Cricetulus griseus: one gene and its partner. The protein of the gene in region 1 interacts with the protein of each later gene in a biochemical or structural test. Links are inferred from orthologs where the notes say so. Each region holds a gene or a part of one and is shown in the gene's direction. Other genes may lie near its edges.

The links. The genes of interacting proteins can lie anywhere in the genome.
Region 2: of the proteins of Chek2 (region 1) and Cdc25a, one has a biochemical effect on the other in vitro, tested with the Homo sapiens proteins (5 studies listed by BioGRID, with this or other methods). The link is inferred for Cricetulus griseus from reciprocal best matches to the Homo sapiens genes CHEK2 and CDC25A.

Annotation. Positions count from the first base shown.
Region 1 is NC_048597.1:90,621,415-90,625,538, forward strand, and holds the start of Chek2 (serine/threonine-protein kinase Chk2), read left to right. Parts: upstream 1-1,304; 5' UTR 1,305-1,384; intron 1,385-2,473; 5' UTR 2,474-2,526; coding exon 2,527-2,833; intron 2,834-3,195; exon of another isoform or gene 3,196-3,465; intron 3,466-4,124. Other genes in the region: iron-sulfur cluster co-chaperone protein HscB, read right to left, coding at 828-1,060. UniProt on the Homo sapiens protein: Serine/threonine-protein kinase which is required for checkpoint-mediated cell cycle arrest, activation of DNA repair and apoptosis in response to the presence of DNA double-strand breaks.
Region 2 is NC_048597.1:217,357,691-217,361,336, forward strand, and holds part of Cdc25a (M-phase inducer phosphatase 1), read left to right. Parts: intron 1-1,647; coding exon 1,648-1,782; intron 1,783-2,268; coding exon 2,269-2,343; intron 2,344-2,483; coding exon 2,484-2,663; intron 2,664-3,646. UniProt on the Homo sapiens protein: Tyrosine protein phosphatase which functions as a dosage-dependent inducer of mitotic progression. Directly dephosphorylates CDK1 and stimulates its kinase activity. Also dephosphorylates CDK2 in complex with cyclin-E, in vitro.

The DNA of each region.
Region 1 (4,124 bases):
ACTCTCATCAAACTCATTGTATAGCTCGGGTTGCCCTCAAATCTGTAATCCTGCCTCACCCTCTGAGCTCACAGGCATACATCAACACAGACGACTTGTTTTATTTTTATTGTCTCCTTTAAAATATTTACTTATTTGAGATGAGAATGTTCCCTATTTTTGTGGTTGGGCACCTACTGGGGATCCTCCTACTTTAGTCCAGATGCTTTTAATCCTAGCACTGGGGAGGTAGAGTCAGAACTACAAGTTGAAAAACAAACTCTGCTCCTTTTTCCTCCCTGGAGTTCAGCCTCTGGAATCCCCTTTTCCAGGAGCCCGCCCCTCAAACCTCCCTATACTGTAAACTTGAGCCTGTTCCCTTTTGTTGTTGCTGATGTTTAAAAACAAAGCCTTTGTAGCAGAGGCTAGTCCTGAATTCCTTAACCTCCCACTTCCACTTCCCAAGTGCTTACATTGCAGGCATCTGCAAGTTTACGCTTTCATCCCCGCCTCCACCCTTACCTTCTTTCCAGTCTGTAACTTGATTTCCTCTTCCTCTCAGGCAAACTCCTAAAATCTCAGCAGGTCCTATATTATACAAATGACCTATATACTTTTTTTTTTTTTTTTTTTGCTTTGTTCGTTTTGAATGAGTCTCGGTAAGTTGCTTAAACTGGCCTTGAACCGTGGTCCTCCTGCCTCAGTCTTCCAGCTGGCTGGAAATTACAGGCCCGCCGGCGAGGACCCAAGTCGTAAGCACCAGGGTAACGCCTGCCTAATTTAACTAACTCGGCCATCCGAGCTCCCCAAGACCGACTCGCCCTCCCATAACTCTGCGCCGCGCGTACCAATTCATGAGGCTGAAGTAGTCCCGAGTCGGGTCAGGTGGCTGCAAGGCGCGGCAGTGTTCGCAGAAGAACCCATCCCCACTCTCCACACCCCCAGCGCTGCCGCAGTTCCAGCACTGGCCCGCATTGCTCTTGCCCGAGGCAGCGTTGCTGCTCAGCAGTCTCCTTCCCAGGAACCCAGCTAGTCGCACCTCCCACACGCAAACCAAAGCACGGGCCCGGCAGCCCCACATCCGGACAGCCGCCCGTCTGGCCTGGGTCGAGGGACTCGAGGGAAAGGAAGCAAGAGTGACTCGTTGCTGATTGGTTTAGTGAGCCGAGGAGGCGGGATCAGCCTCGGTAAAACAGGATGCCGAGTCCCGTTCTGCATCCTAAACTACAACTCCCAGCAAGCCTTGAGGCTAACGCATGGCAGCCACATTCGGGTCTTCTTATTGGTCGTGCCGAGCAGAAAGGCGTTTTGATTGGCTGAGGGTGGAGTTTGCATGGGTAGGTTTAGCGCCACACCACTGGTTGCGGCGGTCTGGGGTGTTTGTGGCTCCAGGTGTTCTTTCGCGGTGAGTTTTAGCGGGAAATTTTTCTTGCCTGTCTGAGGATTCGAATCGGGTCTCAGGGTCTTCTGCAAAGGGGCCCTTCGCAGCTTCCGCCTGGTCTGTGTGTGCAAGAGAGCTCTGCACGCAGGCGACTCTTCCTTGTTTTTTAGCTGCTCTTCGAGGGGGACATTCTCTTGTTATTTACAAGCTGAGACATGGGAAGGCACAGAGTTGGGCTCTTCAATGCCAGAGAGCGAAGTAGTTTCATAGCGAGTATTATAAATGTTAGTGATCATGCCAGGTCCCCGATTCATTCTTCCCAAATATTTACTGAGAACCACAAACATCGCTGCTAGGCTCTGCAGGAACTGGAGTGAGTACGTAAGGAAGTGTGTGGGGTAGGGTGGCAAGGAGTGGATAGGAAGCAACCAGCCATTCTCAGCTTCTCTACACGCTAGCGCTGTGTAATTGGCCGATAAATTCTGTTCGTGATCCTGAAATTTTGCTGTGGTCACTTTTTTTAAAAAAACTCATCAATGATTCTGCCCTTCTGAGGTGATCATAATATGCCTGTTCCTTTTATAAAAAATTTATTTTTAAAAATCATGTGTCTGTGTAAGTCTGTACAGTGCGCAGGGAGGCCAGCAGAGGGCAGTGCATTCCCAAAGAGCTGGAACTACTGGCATTTGTATGCTCCTGGATGTGGGTGCTGGGAACTGAACTCAAAAAAGCAACGTGCTCTTCTTAACCGCCGCGATGTCTCTCCAGTCCCTAAGTATACCCGTTCTCCGCTTCGTATGTTTGGTGGTACTCGGCATGGAATCCAGGACTTTGCGTCTACTATTGAGTTATATTCACATTCTTCACTTAGCTTTGGGTAAAGATTTATTTTTAATTATATGTTACGTGTGCAGGAGTATGCTCACGTGAGCGCAAGTGATTTCAGGGGCCACGAGAGGACTTCAAACCCACTGGAGTTGGAGTCACAGGCAATCTTGAGCTTCCAGACTTGGGTGCTGGGAACTTACTGAACTTTTGGGTTCTACAAGAATAGTTCTGTTCTTTGCTGCTGCATCATCTCTCCAGCTTCCATTCCTCGTTCTTGAATTTTAGGCCTCGCTCCTTGAATCTCCCCTCATTGTTGGACTCTGTTTTTGAGGTCGGATATGAAGAATCAGCAGTCCCACAGCAGTGGTTCCTGTTCACAGTCCCAGGGTGGCTTCACTCAGTCACAAGGCACTTCCTCTCAGTTACACGACCTCTCCTCACAGTCTCAAGGCACATCCAGTTCCTCTAGCGGCACAGTGTCATCCTCCAGCCAGTCCTCTCATTCCAGCTCTGGGACACTGAGCTCTTTAGAGACAGTGTCCACCCAGGAGCTCTGCTCTATTCCTGAGGACCCAGAACCTGAGGAGCCTGGTCCTGCCCCTTGGGCTAGGTTATGGTCTCTTCAGGAAGGATTCTCCAATCTGGGTAAGGCATTTTGTTATATAGTATAATGTATTGTTCAGGGAAACAGGGGTGGTGGTTAGATTGTTGCAACAGAAATCTCAGGGCCCCTATAACTGGTTAGAGGTGAGAAAAAAGTTAAAAAAAAAAAAAAAAGTGGAGGCTGTGGTGGAGTGCCTGGGCTGCCATTACCTGCCATGTACTCACTGTTATTTCTCCTCCTGGTTGATCCTCGTGCAAAGAATCAGACTTAGGCCTTATGCATGGTAGAGTGAGCTACATCTGTTGTTCCATCCCTAGCTACCTTATTTTTATTATCAAATAGAATTTTTTGAAATTTCATAGGCTGGCCTCAAAATTTATCTTTTTCTTTCATTTTTTTTCAGAGAAAAGGTCTCATAGCCTGGGCTGGCCTTGATCTCACTATGTAGCTGAGCTTGACTTTGAACTCTTGATCTTCCTGCTTCTATTTCCCAAGTGCTGGCTTTATACGAATATATTATCAGGCTCTACGAGACAGGGTTTCTCTGTATAGTCTTGGCTGTCCTGGAACTCGCTCTGTAGACCAGGCTGGGCTCCGAGTGCTGGGATTAACGGCATGTGCCACCACCGACTGGCTACTCATTATTTTTGAGACAAGAAATTCTGCAGCCTAGGTAGGTTTGCAATTCACTATGTAGTTCCTCATGGCCTTGAACTTGCATCGAACTTCTTGTCTCAGCCTACTGAGTAGCTGAGATTACACATACCAGGCATACCTGGTTCAAATTTATAATTTGTATGTGGATATCCGGTTGATCCAGAGCTATTTCTGAAAGATACTTGTATTATTCAGGGTTCTCTAGAGGAACAAAACTGTTAGAACTGATATTCATTATTATATTTCATTTTTTAAAAAATTATTTATTTTGTGTGTATTGGTGTTTTACCTGCATGTATATCTGTGTGAGGGTGTCAGATCTTGGAGTTACAGACCCTTGTGAGCTGCCATGTGGGTGCTGGGAATTGAACAAGGGTCCTGTGGAAGAGCAGTCAGTGCCCTTAACCGCTGAGTCATTTCTCCTGCCCCCTATACATTCATTCTTATTCTAGTGGTTTACAGGCTGTGGTCCAGCTAGTCCAACAATGGCTACCCATGGGAGGTCCAAGAATCTAGCAATTACTTGTTCAGTTCATAAAGCTGGATGTCTCAGCTGGTGTTCAGTATACACCATGATCCTGTTGAAGTAGGCTTTACTGCCGGCGAAGGAATGCCCTTGCCAGTAAGAGTGAGAGCAAGCAAGAAAGAGAACAAACTTCCTTCTTCCATGTCCTT
Region 2 (3,646 bases), about 130 Mb from region 1:
TGATTTATTTGTCAAAGGATGTGTTAAGAGACAGAATTTAACTGTAGATTCCCCAGTTCATGATAACAGTTTGAGATTATATCTGAAATAGAATATATTTGATGGATGCTTGGGGATCAGAATGCCATGATTTTCTATGATTGCTTGATCATTAAAGGCACAGATGCTGAGGTGCAGACTTTTTTTTCAGATTTTTCTTTTATTTGTATTAGAAACAAGATTGTTTTACATGTCAATCCCAGTTCCCTCTCCCTCCCCCCTCCCTCCATCCCCCCAGGTGCAGACTTTTTAATTTATTTATCCCTGCAGGCCAGACTAGGGTACCAGATCTCATTAAGGGTGGTTGCTGGGATTTGAACCCAGGTCCTCTGGAATAGCAGCCAGAGTTTTTAACCTCTGAGCCATCTTTCCAGCCAAGGATGCAGACTTTTAAAAAGCCAGTGAAAATTTTATTGATTTAGCTTTTGTTTGGGTTGGGATTCTTATTTGCTTTTTTTTTTTTTTTTTTTGAGACAGGATCTCTTAAAATCCCAGGCTAGCTTCAAATTTGCTATGCAGTTGAAAACTGCTCCTGTCTCTGGGATTACAGGTGTTTGCCACCACAGCCAACTTATTTTCCAGGTTTGGGTGTCAAATAGGTGAGGTAAATGATCTTGGTAACCTTAAGCATAAGTTTCCTTTTATTAAACAAAAATCAAAGGATTCTTTGGGTATGTTGGTACACATAGTCCCAGCTCCTCCGGCGGCTAAAACAGGGTGGAGTCTAGGAATATTTAATCTCAAAGAAAAAAAAGGATTGACTAAAATAGTATGTGCTGTGACTTAAATGAGATTATAGTTGTAAAGATTTTGTCTTAGTGTCTGAGACATTATAATCTCTCAATTTAAAATTGGGCAGCTGTGTTTTATTTAAATCATTTTTACTTTTAATTATGGAGTGAGTAGGCTGTTTATGAGTACAGATGGCTGAGGAGGCCAGAGGTTTAGGATCACAGAAAACAGAGCTGTCTAAGGTGGATACTTGGAATCAAATCAGACTTTGAGCTTCTGCAAGAGCCATGCTTGCTGTTAACCTCCAAACCATCTCTGTAGCCCCAGCTGTCATTTAATCCAGTGTGCACTTGTGATCTCAACATTTGAGGGGGTGGAAGAAAGGTTCACAAGTGTTGGCTCACCCTGTCTCCAAAAGTAAGAAAGGACTGGGAAAGGCTTTAGAACAAGTTCTCTTTGTTTCCATCTGTCTGAATGGGATTTACATAGGTATTGTTCAACTTTCTTTGGTATACTATTTTATGGTAGAGACTGGTATTTCCAACAGATTGTGCACTGCCACAGCTTGCAGTTAGACTGCAAGAAGAGCTCAGAGGCAGTGGTGGTGCCAACTTTAACCCCAGAGGCAGGCTCATCTCTGAATTTGAGGCCTGGTTTACAGAATGAGTTCCATCCAGGACTGCCTAGGCAGCAAAAGAAACCCCGTCTTAAAAGGGAAAAACAAAGTAAGAGCTCAGGAGCTAGAGAATCCAATGTCTTCTTCTGATCTCTGAGGATGCCAGGTTCCCACATGGTGTACAAGCTTATCTCTTTTTTTGAGCAATCCAGCTAAGCAAATCAAAATGGACTAGAGTTCTTGCTAATTTTGTCTTTCAGCTATCTTCAAATGAAAGTGATAACAATGAATCAGGACATTTCAGTCCTCTTTTTACATCCCAGTCCCCTGTGAAAGCCACTTTGTCTGATGAGGATGATGGCTTCATAGACCTTCTCGATGGAGAGAATCTGAAGGTATCATCTGTGGGTGTGAGGGTGTGCCTACTCATTCTAGCTACCACTGGAGAAGGCTCCTAAGTAAAAACAGCTCCTGGAGTCTCAGCTGGCTGATTGATTTGTGAGATTATTGGGACTCTTCCCTGCTTGACTAAATCCTATTGCAGGGGGAGTAGTGGCGGAATGTGTGCTTAGGGTGCGCAAGGCCTCAGGTTCAATCTCTTGTACCAAAAAAGGAGGTGCTAGCCTTCCCTGGTGGTAATGCCTGTAATCTCAACATTTAGGATGCTGAACAGGATTGCCATAGCCACAAATTAGGCCAGCCTGTGCTACAAGTAAGGCTCCTCCCCAAAAACAAAACAAAACAAAAAAATGTATTCAGGCTTGTCTGGCACTCTTTAGGAGAGTTAAATGCAAAGCATTTATTAATCTCAACTGGGTCCTTTTCTTCTTCCCAGCCCCTCCACTGGATCTATTTAAAAACAGTTTTTTCTCTTGCTCTAGAATGATGAGGAGACCCCTTCGTGCATGGCGAGCCTCTGGACAGCTCCCCTTGTCATGAGAAGACCTACAAACCTTGTAAGTTACTCCAGTATGTGGAGTTTTCAGTAGTTGGCCGCTGAACAAAGTAGTCCATAACTATGTTGACTGGAATAATCTAGGACTTGTCATTCAAGTGATCAGATTGTAATCGAGGTGGCTCTGTCTCTTACCCTAAGGGCAATCGATGCAGGCTGCTTGACTCCTCTTCCCCGTGCAGCTCCAGCAGCAGCTCCAGCACTCGGGCAATGTTGAAGAGAACAGAGCGCTCTCGTGACGAGTCCCCTCGAGGAAATACAAAGCGGAGGAAGAGCATGGCCAGTCCTGTAAAGGCAGATAATCTAGAGCCAACCCAAGAGGTTAGTTTTGCAAGTTCTCCTTTGGTCTACAAAAACAAAGTGTTCTTAATTGTTGAACCATCTCAGCAGTCCTATTATGAGATGTTTTTGGTTTGGTTTGGGGTTGCCTGTTGCTGAGGATTGAACCTATTCAAGAACTTGGTCAACAAGCTCCTTGTCCACTCCTATTTTCCTCTTTGGTTTTGTTATTTGAGGGTAGGGGCACATAAACAGTGCACATGTGGATGTCAGAGTAGGACTTGGAGACCTTTCTCTTTTTACCATGTGGCTCCCAGGCTTAGAACTCAGCAGCAAAGAGACCTTAAGTTGTTGCACCTTCTCACTGGCTCCTGTTTATTTTTAAGCTACATTCATTGTAGCTACTTTTGGGGGCGGGTTTATTGTTTTGAGACTGTCTCACTATGTAGCCCTGGCAGTCCTAGAACTCACTGTATAGATCAGATTAGCCTCATACTCAGTGATCTGTCTGCTTCTGCCTCCAGAGTGCTACATATTCTGCTTGTTTCACCATCTTTTTGCTTTTTACCATTCTAATACTGGGACAGTTGGCAAATGTTATTTCACCCGACTGTGTTCTGATGGTTGTTTTTATCTTTTAGGAGCAGGTTCTCTTGTGGCCTGGGCTGCCTGGTGCTATGTGGTTTATGGTGGCCTCGGAACTTTTGATTCCTCTGTCTTGATGTCCCTAGTGCTGGAATCACAGCCATGCCTGAGTTTTTGTTTGGGTTTGGATTTTTTGTTTGTTTGTTTGTTTGTTTGTTTGTTTCGAAACATGGTTTCTCTGAGTAGCTTTGGAGCCTATCCTGGCACTGACTCTGGAGACCAGGCTGGCCTCGAACTCAGAGATCCACTTGTCTCTGCCTCCCAAGTGCTGGGATTAAAGGCGAGAGCCACCAACGCCCGGCCACCACCCACCATTTTATTGGTCTTTTTAAACATTTGTGTGTGGGGGTGTGCACATGTGCCATGGTGCATGAGAACCT